Linked DNA regions of Saccharomyces cerevisiae S288C. The gene in region 2 interacts genetically with the main gene of each other region. Each region holds a gene or a part of one and is shown on either strand. Other genes may lie near its edges.

Region 1 (5,291 bases), on a different chromosome or scaffold from region 2:
GGTCCCGAAACTGGAATATAGATAACCTTACCCAAACAGTCGTTACTATCTAGAAATGGTTTGATGCACTTCAGAGAATCCCTCAAATAACGCCTTCTTGAAATTTCCTTAATAGCTGGTTTCCATTTAATATCATCCGTTCCGTAAGGTATATTGGAGAAGCAACTTAGAGTAGAAGATGCTCGCCTTCGATTTCTTATTCGTTCTTCAATTAAACATGAATAATCACTTTCACTGCCATAAGCATAACCAATATTACTGTCATCAGTATCATCATTAGTATCATCGCCAGCATATTCATCGGTTTCACCGTCATTTTCGTCCTCATCGGTCTCAGTAGCGCTTTCATCGTCATTGATTTCAGCGTCACGGTTTGTGAGACATAACGACCTACTGCTTTGGGATAAATCTGTGGCGGATTCCCCATTAGGAGCTAATCCTGATAGGTATATCGAAGAGCTTTGAGGTTTAGGTCTAATAGATGCCTCATCCCTTTCATTGGCTACCAAATTCGACGCAACACTCCGTAATTCCTCTTTCATAACCGCATTTTGTGATTGCAGCATAATCTCGCAGCCATCAACGGAAAGATGCTCAATAGGAGAGGGTGAATGAACTGATTCACCCACTGTGCTATTTGGAAATTTGATGGGGACAACCTCCTCGCTAATTGCACGCCTCAATGACTGTCTTTGGGGCATGGAAATAGCTCTATTTCTGTGCATTGGACGCTCTACTTTAATGGTGGTATTTACTGGAACACCAGGCTCTGGATGATCTCCCCCGCTTGATTCATGGTGTTCATCATCTTCTTCCGTTTCAATAACACTATTTAAGTTACTTGAGTTGGACCTGAGTCTGTGAAGCTTTTCTGTGCGTGAAGAATTTTTAGGCCTGAAAAAGTTCTTAATTTTAAATTTTAAACTTCTAGATGCAATCGAACGGGAAGCTGAGCAACCAGATAATGACCTTGTTGATCCCAGGGTACTGTTATCACTGGATTCTCCTGATGCAGCCGAAGATATCAATGCCTCTGTAGGCGTCTTTGAGAGGCCAGTGCAGTAATGATCTAGTAGACCAGCTGTGAAAGTATTCGAGCGTTCCCTGATAGTTGTATTGTTATTAGTGCTAGACCCGGTACTATATCTTTGGATTAAGTCCGGTCTGGAATTCGAACGAATGAATCTCTGCGAAAAAGACCCCATCGAACTCTCACTTCTATGAGTGTGTCTTCTTCTCCTCCTTCTCCTCCTTCTCCTTCTCCTTCTTCTGGGAACAATTCGATAATCTGGATACTCCCTGACTTCCAAGTCCAAAGACACAGATATCCCGATTGATAGGTACATAGACCAGTCAATCATATCATCTATATGAGAGAACCGTAATAAAAACTGTTCGCTTTCACAAGACATTCTTAACACAAAACTCTTCTTGGTATAATCCGTTGGTATCCCAAATCTTGCATTTTGTAAAGTGAAAGACTTGTAAAGAGCTTCATCGGTTAAATACCGCGATCGATCACGTTTCACTCTATAAGAGATCCGTTCTTGATCTGCTTTTTTAAACTCCGAAGCTGATCTCGTCGGTAGAGTGAAGAGACGGTGATGCAGATGTTGTGATTGATCACTGCGATGGACCAAGTCACTATGAATTCTATCCTCTTTTTCAGATTTTGTTTCCCCGCTTGAATAATTCCTAATGTGTTTCGTCAAAGATTCGTCAATATGGTAAAAATTTAGTTGAGTCGAATTAATTTCAATGATGAAATTCCTCCAGCTCCTGTTACTAGAAATTTCATAAGGTGAAAGCCTTTCCAATTTTAAGGATATCAACGTCAATTCATATACTGCAGGTGCATACAAAGGAGGGAGAGAAGACTTTGGGCATGGTGCCGTGTCACCAAATATAGGAAAGCGGACCTCTTTATTGGGATTTACTAGATCATAGCTCGGTGGATAAGCAGGGAGGGGATCTATATGCTCGTAAAGATCTTGCTTGATGAAGAGAGCAGCGTGAGAAGAGGACGAAGCTGCAGTTTCCTTGATAATATTTATCTGACCAGAAACACCTTCCCGAGGAAGTTGACGCATGGTCTCTAAACATATAGAGCTGCTGTTATTGCTTGAAGTAATGAGAACCTCGTCCATTGAGCATGTTGATGAAGACGAGGGTGATTTTAACCTTTCGATCCTATTATTTGCCATGGATAATTTGCCCTCTATTGGCAGAGCCATCCTTAACAAACGAACAACTTGTATGCACGATGTCGGATCAAAAATATACTGTGGCCCCAAGAAACAACGATTTCTTTTGTGCTGGTCAACAAAATTGTAATCTTTTCGGTGGACCCTATTATGAAACTTTTCTCTTTTTTTTTTTTCTTACTGTAAGACAGTTAGATGCACCCACCTCACTGAAGCTTGATGATTACGACTAAATTAAAAACGCGGATATACAACTAAGGACTTACAATGTTGATCTCCTGAGTATTGTTAATGTCCAAAATGACCGAACAACAGCGGATAACGATATATATCCTTCTTGCAATTATAAAGAATCGTAAGATAACTCCGTCAACGATGATGTGGAAATTATGACCCTCTTGGAGGCTTAATCACTAAAAAGGAGATGAAGCCTTCAAGTCACATCAAAATAATCGAAGCCAACACCAAAGAATTTTACAGATTGGTTCTGCTCATGTTAGGGGGTGTATGAGCAGATAATCCAAGTTAAAATAATTTTTTGGAGAATATAGAAGAAAATATATAAGGTTTTGCTTTTTCTAGATTTTATATAGGATAGGGTATTACTAACTTGTAATATAATGTATACCGTGGTATCCATTATATCTCTGGGTCTAGTAGGAAGTCACAAAAGTACTTTAAAGCAGCATAAGTTTCCTTTCCAACTGGCTTGATGTTTTCTGGAGGCAATAAAAATCCATGGTTCCCTGTATCCCGTAATTTCAACTGGAATGCCCAATGTGCTCTGTGGTGGTACATGAAGTCCAACGCAGAACCTGCACCGAGGCCGGGGAATATGTCGGAACCACGGTCCTTACATGCGGAGATTACGTCGTAGTTTCTACCTGATTTTGAACGGATGGCCTTGGATAAGCCATATGATAACTCCAACAAATTTTCTAAGTCTCTGGGCAAGGCATCACACGAGTATGCGTAGGGATATAAAATCTCCTGTGAATACGAATGCATGTCAATGTAGCCATAAATTTTGTAATCGCCCTTGGTTTCATTAATATACTTGTACCAAGCAGATGCTTCCCAAGCTTCGAAGGGCGTTTCCCCACTATACTCTTCGCTGCAAGCGTGGGTGTGTGCCTTTTCCCACTGGAAACCAAAGGAATGATCAATGTCGATACCAAGACATTGAGGAACATGAGTCCTTTGACGATTCTTACGCCATAGTCTGTCATGCGACCACGTATATGCGTATCCGTCTGGATTGAACACAGGTATGACTAAAAAGTCCAAATCGTCCAGGTATTTGGTTTCCTTCTTAGACGAACCATATCGATTTAACAACTGATAAAGTGCCCAACAGACGGTACTGACACTGATCCACTCTCTGGCATGTATACCACCTGTGATAACAATAGTCTTCTTTTCCGGGTTTGATTCTGGCTTGTTTCCGGATATATGCAGAGCTTTTAGCTCTCTGCCTTCAAATGTCCTGCCCAAGTGTTCCACTGCAACCAAACTGGGAAAGCTTCTTTCTAGAAGATCCAACCACATATAAATAGTATCCAGGTCCCTGTATTCGTTAAAGAAGAAATCGTAATCATTTTCAAAAACAGCCTGCTCACGTGCCATCATCTGACTTGTAGGCAATGTATTTTGTATCAATTCATTCATGTTATCTATGATCACCTGCCCATCATTTATCTGCTCACCTATTTCTTTAGGCAACTTAATATCAATGAAATTATTGCTTCTCGTCCATACATCATAATCATCTGTCAGCGGTGCGATCACATCTCTTACCAGGGTAGAATAGTTGTCTGAAGTAAACCTGTAAACAGCGTATTCACTGTAATCCTCTTGGAGACCCTGCACAGCACCTGTCACGGCTAGTAAAACGAAAAGAAAACAACCCCACAACGAATTCATGTGCAACATGATATAACTTAACACTCTGGTTTGTTTATATAGTGTTAACTTGGTCTTTTAAACCGTCGAAAATATTTTATCCTTCCTTCCATTTAGTTGGAACCATTTTCTAGTTCTTCGTAAAATCCGCAGTCAGCGCAGGAGAAAATAGAACGAGACAAATGATCTTTTAAATTACAGGTTATCGCGGGAGAATATTGGGGTTCAGAAATACAACACATATAAACAAAAATACGTACCAAAGAAGTGTTATAAAAGTGATATAACTATGTCAGAGGATCTTTCACCTACAAGCAGCAGGGTGGATTTGAGCAATCCTCATGGGTTTACCAAAGAGGGAGTGGATTTATCGAAGCTGTCACCACAAGAACTAAAATTGTATAAAATGTATGGGAAGCTTCCATCCAAAAAAGATCTGTTAAGACATAAGATGCAGGATCGTCAATATTTTGACAGCGGAGATTATGCATTGAAAAAGGCCGGAGTCATTAAGTCGGATGACGTTATCGTGAATAATTCTAGTAATAATCTACCAGTGACCAATCCTAGCGGTTTAAGAGAGTCTATTATTAGAAGACGTATGAGTAGTAGTAGTGGTGGCGATTCTATCTCGAGACAAGGAAGTATCTCAAGTGGACCTCCACCAAGATCTCCAAATAAATGACTAATGAAGGAATGATATTATGTGGTATTACTTTTTTTTTATCATCACTAGCTTCGGCTAAGCCCTTGCATTTTCAATATTCAATTACCAAATAATATATATATATATATATATATATGTATGTATGGTATACCTTGTGTTACTGATGTGTTTTTTGTTGACGTCATCCTTTTGATTTACTCACATGCTTAGTAAATGAAGGTTGTTGAGGCCTAAAAATCAGCTAAGATTTACACATCGATACTAATCATTGAACGCCCCTATGGGAACACTTAATTGAATAAATATCTGCCCAACTTGCTGAACATCAAAAACCCAAAAAAATAGAAATCTATAAAATACAACGCCAGTGACAACTGCGAGAAACATTGTGAGCAAGTGAACGCACTAAGGGCACCAATTACTAGACCTGGGAAAAAAACGGTTAAAGTGCCATCAAAGAACAACCACAGAACAATGTTTAATAAGCTCCATGCACCAGCTGCCTGCAAAGAGGAGGA
Region 2 (8,728 bases):
TCTTCTTCCACAAGAGGATCCTTGGCCGGAGTTGTGTTCTTTATGGTGTAAAGACGTAACAGCAACTGGATGTTGTCGTAATCAGATAGGGTAGGTTGATCGTTAGGGTTCAAATCCAGCAACAACTTTGGAATATTTTCTTGACGTAGTGCCAATGGCAATAGTTTATCTTCTTCATAACCTTCATTTAGGTCTACCTTTTGTCTTTTACTATAAATTTGCTCGTCTAGAGGTTCATCAGCAATGGACTCAAAATGAGGCTTCTCCAATAATAGATCGGACTCTAAAGCAAATGTTTCTGGTGTAGCAGATGTCGTTCTCAAAGCAAAATTTTGAAATGTGAAGGATTTGGCAAGAATGATCAAACCGGCATGAGCCTTTTGCTGATATTTAGTTCTAGTAGCGCGTGCACCCGTCATTACAAATTCAAAATTTGTTATCTTTTTCGCTCTGGTCAAGGATGGCAGGCACAAATGTTCTGTGTTGATGGCCAATGAACATTTGACATTCTCTAGATAGTACATTGCACAAAGTTCTCTTTTGAAATCTTCGTGAATACTCTCCGGTAATTCCTTAGTTATCGCATATGCAAGGTCAGCAGACTGATATATTGCAGATGCAACACTAGCTTGGAACCCAGAAGGTTCTGGAATCAGTGACAATTGCGTCAAAAGAGCTCTTGCCCACCACCAATAAGCTACAGCTAATAATCCAGGAGTAGACTCAGCAGAGATAATAGGTAGCGGAATTTCTTGATCCGGGGTAACATCAAATAAGCTTTTTTGGCCGGTTATCCTTTCAAGTAATAATAGTGATAAAACCAAATACAATGGATCATCCATAAATTCGTAGGCAGGCTGGCCCATAATGGCTAATGAGCGGGAAAGGGCTGTATTAACTGCTCCTATTTCAATTCCAGTTTTGCCAAACAAACCTGAGATTGCTTTCAACCTAGCTGCTGGGCCGGTGTAGTTATTTTGAATAAAGGTCTGTAAGAGGGCAATAGCCAAAAATAGCATCTCATTTTCTTGGCCCATTTTGAAAACCTCAACGTTAAGAAAGTCATTTAGAGCAGCAATAACACTAGATGTGGATATTTCTCCCGAAATACTAATTTTTCCCTTAAATTTGTCCACAAATTGCTGTACTAGCTGGTATGATTCACCACTGATGATATGTTCAGCCTTTTTCACATATGTCTGGTCGAAAGAACCACTTTTCAGAGATTCTACTTCTGCAGACAGCAATAATTTTGCATGCAATAACGTCTCCATAATTTTGCAACCACTAGTTTACTTTTTGCCTGGTCTGATAGCTTCTTTTTAGCAATTCCTTTGGCCTCGATGAGCTTCCATTTTCAATTTTCATCTTTTTTTTCACGATGCGAAGTTTCTTAGATAATTATCGCCATATACGAAACGCGTTAGGAAACGCGTTCTTTCCTTTATAATAAGCAATATTATATCAACTTAAGGTGGAAGTAATGTGGCAAAATCGATAGCGACTATCTAGAACAGGCTAGTTTAAGCATATACATAATGGCAAGTATGTATTAGTGCTAGGAATTGGAGGATTTGCTCTTTTCTGCATCATTTTTTTTATTTTTATTGGCGAATGTTAAAATTACTAACAATGGATGGGATTCCAATACAGCCTATCAACCATATAACGAATATTCATCAGTAACGGGCGGTGGCTTTGAGAACTCTGAGTCCCGCCCAGGTAGTGGGGAGTCGGAAACTAACACTAGAGTTAACACCTTGACACCTGTGACGATCAAACAAATTCTAGAGTCCAAACAGGATATTCAGGACGGCCCCTTCGTTTCGCATAACCAAGAACTTCATCACGTTTGTTTTGTAGGTGTGGTGAGAAACATTACAGACCATACTGCAAATATTTTTTTAACTATTGAGGATGGAACTGGTCAAATAGAAGTGAGAAAATGGAGCGAAGATGCAAATGACTTGGCTGCCGGTAACGATGACTCTTCTGGTAAAGGTTATGGTTCGCAAGTCGCCCAACAATTTGAAATTGGCGGTTACGTAAAAGTTTTTGGTGCTTTGAAAGAGTTTGGTGGTAAGAAAAATATACAGTATGCGGTGATTAAGCCCATAGATTCATTCAATGAAGTGTTGACGCATCACTTGGAAGTCATCAAATGTCATTCCATAGCCAGTGGAATGATGAAACAACCTTTGGAGAGTGCATCCAACAACAATGGGCAATCATTATTTGTCAAGGATGATAACGATACATCTTCCGGCTCCAGTCCGTTACAAAGAATTCTAGAATTTTGTAAGAAGCAATGTGAGGGCAAAGACGCTAATTCATTCGCTGTTCCCATTCCATTGATCTCGCAATCCTTGAATTTGGATGAAACTACCGTCAGAAACTGCTGTACGACCTTGACTGACCAGGGTTTTATCTACCCAACTTTTGATGACAATAACTTCTTTGCCCTATGAAAATATATAGATTATTTTTTTAGCATTTCTTAGTATTCGTTTGTGTATTTCTACTAGGTAAGTACCAAAATTTGCCGGAAATAGAGTGGAAAATGGAACCCGTTCCAAGAAGGGGTAAGATGCATGAATATTAAGTTGGTTGCATAAATATGCTATATAAAGTCCACTACAAAAAGTCATTTATTTTTGCCCGTAAGAATAAAGAACGAATCCGTCCTTATCTCTGACTTCAATGGGAACATTTACACGCAGTACGGGCTTCAATAATAGTTCCCAGTCGTATCTGGTTCTAGGTGTACATAATGAAAAATGTCTCAGCATTCTTATTTTGACAGCTTTGAATTTTGACAAATTTCTCAGGAAACACCAGAGGTTAATATTTGGAATATCTTTAAAATTCTCTGGATCTTGGAAATCATTGAAAAAATTTTCCAATGTCACATTTTGTAAGAACTCCTCCACATCTAAATCTCTATATTCGATGGTTCGGTTCTTCAATTTGATTAAACTATCTCTTAGGCAACGCCTTACAGAGTTGTTCCAATAGTAAGTGTGGTGAATGTCTGATTCAGGGCTCATTACTGTACTTAAATTTGGAACTGCATTAGCATTTGGTATGTTATCTCTTATGGAATTATTTTCGTAACCGATTAATGTTTCTTGATCGTTCTCGTCGCCAACATCCTCATCTGTCTCATCAACACTAGTAATTGTTCTTGCTAGATGTTCCCAAAACGATAGAGGGGATAAAGGATACACATTGGTAAAGGGGATATTGATTACGTTAATAGAAATATTTTTACTTGGAAGTCTCTCCCAAAGTAAGCGGTAATAATGGTAGAAAGAATGAAATTCAGGGATTCTTTGTCGTTGAAAATTTTGTAGCTGTGCCGCAGTTAACATGGCGGGCTTTTTGTTATTGTCTGGTGATGGGTTATTTGAAACATCATTTCCTGTAGTTCTAGAAATATAGTTCAGATTTAAGGACAATACAACTGAAGATGTCGGCGGAGGAGTAATTATCTTCGAATCTGATGGCGCTTCAAATAATGTTTCTGTCATGGAATTGCAGTCATCAAAATCATCTTCTGTATCCAAACTTCGCTGTTGGAAATAATATGATTCGCCGACTACCTGTTCGTTAGTGAAACATTTGCTATTACAATCAATTGTTAGATTGGATAACGATGGGAAACAACTGCATAACAATAAGTCGAATTTACTGTTAATCTTCAGTAAGGATAGATGTTTGACCATTTTAAAGTAAGAGTGAAACAAACGTAATATTCCATTTCCAGGAACTACATCACATGAATCTAAAGTAAGTGCAGTGATAGGAGACTGTAAACTGTACAGTTCATTATCTTCGTTCTTTAGAAATAGTGGTAAGAATTCCATTGGAGTATCTAGCGATTCGGTGTCTATCGTTACATTTTCTAGTTTAAGTTCATTAATTATGCCGAAACAGCAGAATAAACTCGGTCTTAGTACGAGCTTTTGGTGATGGCGTTGACGATTAAAGGTTCTTTGTCTTTTATTATTAGCTTTGATTTCCAGTATTTTCAACCTTGGCAGAGAATAATACTTGGATTCGTATTCTTTGACAAATTTTTTGGATAGTTGGAAAGTCCTCAAATCTTCGTTTGTGATGGATTGCTGGCCCTTGATTATTTTCTTGAAAAAATCTCTAGATCCATCGTTGAATACAGAGTACCATAAAGGAATTTTAAAATTCGGTTCCACATCACTCAGAATCACTCTGGTCAGGTTCGGTAGATAGTCTATAATATCAAGCATTAGCTCAATATAAGTATAATGGAAGTAGTTGCTTTCCAATTTATCAAGCAGTTTGATTCGTTCTGAAGTTATGATGGGAGTCTCATCGTTTAGTCTGATGTTATTCAGTTTTTTTACGTCTTTATCATACGAATCGAGTTTATAAGATCCAGCAATAATAGAATCTTGGCCACTCTTATTATAGAACTTACTGTATTTTAACAACGAGTCTTGGGACTGAGGATTTTTGAATTCGATGGATCTTACGAGGAACCTTGCATTTTGTGATCTAGATTGTGTGCTACAATCACCGCTGTGTGTGACAATGTTCGACGTGTGGAACTCGGAGTGTATCAAAGCATTGAACTTTAACAACGAAAGTTTTGAGTCCAAAATAACGTTTTGGAAAAGGAACTCATTCGTAATCAAATTGTAGAACCTCGAATTGACTTGGCATAGTGTTACTAATGTATTGAAGTCCAAAGTTCGCAGTATTAACAGTAGAACTTTTGTTGGCAAACACATGAGGGACGATTTATCGTTGAAGCGTAGTGATCTCGATTTGATATCATGGCTCGTACTATGTAGAAGGCTTTTGGCATCAGCACAGCCCTCTTCCTCTTCTTCTTCCTCCTTCGCAGCACTGGAGACCAGCGAGAAATATTTTGATCTACCAAACAATTGCAACCGTTTCATGATTCGGTTGGTTTGAACGTTTGAAAATGCGGTTCAACTTTTCATATCTAGCAGTGGCTCATCTTTATGTACTCTAGTCCTAAATCTTCTGCTGGTTATCGCAAAAAAATATGTGATGTGCGGGTTTTTGGCAGTAATCATGACTCAGTCTCTGGAAAAACGTGCTATTTAACGGTTATATATCTATCTATGTACATGCCTGTGCATGAGCTCTTCATTCATTTCTGGGAAGGGTGAGGGAGCTGGGATGCATTTTCTGAGTTGTTCTTGGCATATTTTCCCAGGACGTCCTTTAGCGAATCTGGGATGTCTTCAAACTCCAAGTCGCCCACGTCTTGGCTAACTTGTTCTCCGTTAGCTTTCATTAACTGTTCCACGGTAACATGATGATCATGGAATATTTTCAGATGGTCTGCTATCAAATGTCTCACTTTGCAGTGCGGACAAGAGATCAAGACAGTACCTTTCTCGTACGCCTGCTTGGACATTGTGTGTGAAGATCGGGTGTTACATTTCTTGCAGGTGAAAGCTATCATCATCTTAGGCTTGTCTACCTTAAAAGACCCCAAATGAACCTTCTTATCGTCCTTTTTCACTTCATTATGTGCGATGATATTGGTATGCAACGCTGCTGCGGGTAGAGTACGGCACACGTTGTAGCGTACGCGAGGCGCCCAACATCTGGCAAAGTACCTGGTAATTGGTATTTTACTTTGCAGTAGTGTTCTAGTCCTCGGAATCATGTTCAGTCTCTTGATATTCCAGTTGCACCGGTGCTGCTTTAGTATCGCTGATCCCTTGAAGCCAACATGACGCTCTTTCACCTTTCCTCTCATAATTTTGATATCACGCGAAAATGCAAGAAAAAAAAATTACAATTATGAAGTGCAGAAGGAACCAAAAATATCATCGAAAGAAGGAGTACGTAGAGCGTTACTATTTTCAATCAGTGTTCCCATTGTGCATACAAGAAATGTCTCAACCCCAGATGTCCCCTGAAAAAGAGCAAGAATTGGCCTCCAAGATTTTGCATAGAGCTGAGTTGGCTCAGATGACGCGTCAATTAAAGCTTGGTTTAAGTAATGTCCCATCAACAAAACGAAAACAGGACTCTACAACAAAGAAAAGAAGCGGAGAGGATGCCGAAGATGTTGATGAGGACCACAAAACTCTTTTGGAAGCCATATCGCCTGCGAAAAAGCCTCTCCACGATGATACAAATAAAATGACTGTTATATCGCCCGTAAAATTTGTAGAGAAGCCAAATACTCCCCCAAGTTCACGCCAACGAAAAGCCGAAGACCGCTCACAGCAGATCAAGCCTAGGAAGGAGGACACTCCATCTACTCCGAGGGCTTCTGCTACACCTATAATCTTACCACACGCTTCGTCACACTACCAGCGCCCCCATGATAAGAATTTCATGACGCCAAAACGTAATAATAACAACAGCAGTAACCATAGCAATAACAATAATAATATCAAGAAGAAGGCAGCAGGCTCTAAGGATGCTCCACAGGACAGCGACAACACTGCGGGCGCTGATCTCTTAATGTATTTAGCCACAAGTCCATATAATAAGTCATCACATCATGGAACACCGATGGCCGTAAGGATGCCCACTACTCCACGCTCTTATCATTACGCGTCGCAATTGAGTTTGAACGGTAATACAGCAAGCACATCAAACGATGCAGTAAGATTCTCTCATATCAAACCTTCAGCGTCTTCTCCGCAGTCCACTTTCAAATCTAATCTGTTACCGAATTTTCCGGACGAATCTCTCATGGATTCTCCATCACTATACTTGAGCAATAATAACGGTAGTGTCCAGGCGACACTATCGCCACAGCAGAGAAGAAAGCCCACCACAAACACATTGCATCCACCTAGTAACGTACCTACCACGCCTTCAAGAGAATTGAACGGTACCAATTTTAACTTACTCAGGACGCCCAACTTCAACATGGGAGACTATCTGCATAATCTTTTCAGCCCTTCACCAAGGGTCCCCGCCCAGCAGGGAGCGTCAAACACGTCAGCTTCAATTCCTTCTGTTCCAGCGATGGTGCCCGGATCATCTTCCAACACTTCTGCGATAGCAACAGCTGCTATATCAAGCCACACCACAAACAATTTTCTAGATATGAACGCAAACGGGATCCCGCTCATTGTAGGACCCGGCACCGACCGTATAGGCGAAGGGGAGTCCATTGATGACAAACTCACTGATTGATCGTTGACGGCCATATCAGTTGATGATTCCATACTTCCTGAAATGGACCACTCAAAGGGACAAAAATGACAAATGTTGAAATTATAAAATTACATATTAATACGTAAAATGACATTCTTTTTTAGGGAAATTCGGAGATAGATTATCACTATGTAAGCTTATGTATCGTAATATACAGGGCCGATATTTCACCTAGTTTACTTTTTCTGGTGGCCTTTATGTTTATGACTGTGCCCCCTCTTGTGTTTGCTTTTAGAGGCTTTCTCTACAGGTATCAGTATGGTGTCCTCATCCTTCTCCCCTGCCTCTGCTTCGACTGGAGCTAACCCATTTTCGTTCTTAAAAGTTTTCTTCCTCCACTCTCTTAATCTTCTTGCCTTCATCACTTTCCTTTTATCCTTCGCTCTTAGTTCCTTGGAACGATAAGGTGCAAATTTCTTCAAACCAATAAATTCATTTAAATCAGTATCATCGGCGGCGAAAATCTCTCTTGCGGTCAAACCGAAACTCTCAGGAGAAACTTCACGGTAACGAAACTTCAAATCTTGCTCCTCTTTTGTACGGCTTCTACTCTTTCTTTCTTCTTCTTCTTTTTCAACCTCCTCTATTAGTGCTAGTTTGTTTTGTTCCAAAGCATTTTCCACTAATTCATTTACCTTTCTCTTTTCTTTCTTCTTTTGCAGTTTCTCTTCTTTCTTGCTCTTCTTTCTTTTTGGACCTTCTTCCTCGTCTTCTTCTTTTTGTTCTTTTTCCACTTCACCTTCTTCTGTTTGGTCATCACCATCGGCGTCTGCATAAAAGTCACCCATTATTTCGTCATCCTCGTTCCAGGTAGGCTTTCCCTCTTGTTGATAAAATTCTTCATTAAATAATTCAGCTACCACGTTATCCCACTCTTCTTCTTTGAAATCGTTCTTCAATAGGGTGTCAGTGATTTTTTTCACCATGTCGGCATTAATTTCAGCACCATATTCCTTTGTTAGTTGCTCTAAAATGTCAGTCAATTTATTCAATTTTTTAGTCTTCTTTTTCTGAAGAGCTGTCTCCTTCTCTGCTTTTATTTGCTCTTTAATTTTTCTTTTTTCCTCTCTTTTTCTTCTGCGTGAAGAGTCATCGGATCTTCTTAGTGTAGCTTGACTACGTGCATAAGATATAATTTCAGCTGCGTTTGGGTCCTCGTACCTAAAATTGTAGGCATTCTCAAATTTTTCTGCAGCATCTTCAAATTCTTCATCGTCCTCTTCATTATTGTTGAGGTCAAGAGAAATCACCTTGTCCCCCTTCTTAGGAATCCAGGCCTGTTGATTCACAAATTCTTCCAAGAAATTTTCTTCATTTACGGTTGGATCCGGTAAATTTTTTCCTTCCTTCTTCGTAGAAGGTTCCTTTTTCTTCAAAAACCCATCGTCTTCATCTCCGCTAGACTCTTCATTTTCTTCATCGCTAAAGGCACTCTTGATTTCATTTAAAAGCTGAGTTTTCTCTTCACGTTGTTGCGAGACGAAAGATTGCTTTCCGTCAACAGTTGCATGTTCGTATTCTTCGTCATCCT

Evidence for each region. Genes that interact genetically often act in the same process or in processes that back each other up.
Region 1: of STB1 (region 2) and IGO2, changing one suppresses a phenotype caused by changing the other (phenotypic suppression), as found in Saccharomyces cerevisiae (one study listed by BioGRID).

What each region holds. Positions count from the first base shown.
Region 1 is NC_001140.6:365,659-370,949, forward strand, and holds IGO2 (phosphatase regulator), read left to right. Parts: upstream 1-4,395; coding exon 4,396-4,791; downstream 4,792-5,291. Other genes in the region: YHR131C (uncharacterized protein), read right to left, coding at 1-2,234; ECM14 (putative metallocarboxypeptidase), read right to left, coding at 2,844-4,136; NSG1 (Nsg1p), read right to left, coding at 5,064-5,291. UniProt on the Saccharomyces cerevisiae protein: Required for TORC1 to properly control gene expression and chronological life span. Plays an essential role in initiation of the G0 program by preventing the degradation of specific nutrient-regulated mRNAs via the 5'-3' mRNA decay pathway.
Region 2 is NC_001146.8:46,749-55,476, forward strand, and holds STB1 (Stb1p), read left to right. Parts: upstream 1-5,913; coding exon 5,914-7,176; downstream 7,177-8,728. Other genes in the region: tetratricopeptide repeat-containing protein EMW1, read right to left, coding at 1-1,274; RFA2 (Rfa2p), read left to right, coding at 1,539-1,545, 1,654-2,468; putative SCF ubiquitin ligase complex subunit SKP2, read right to left, coding at 2,649-4,940; ZIM17 (Zim17p), read right to left, coding at 5,159-5,683; KRI1 (Kri1p), read right to left, coding at 7,374-8,728. UniProt on the Saccharomyces cerevisiae protein: Involved in the regulation and timing of MBF-dependent transcription in late G1 of the cell cycle.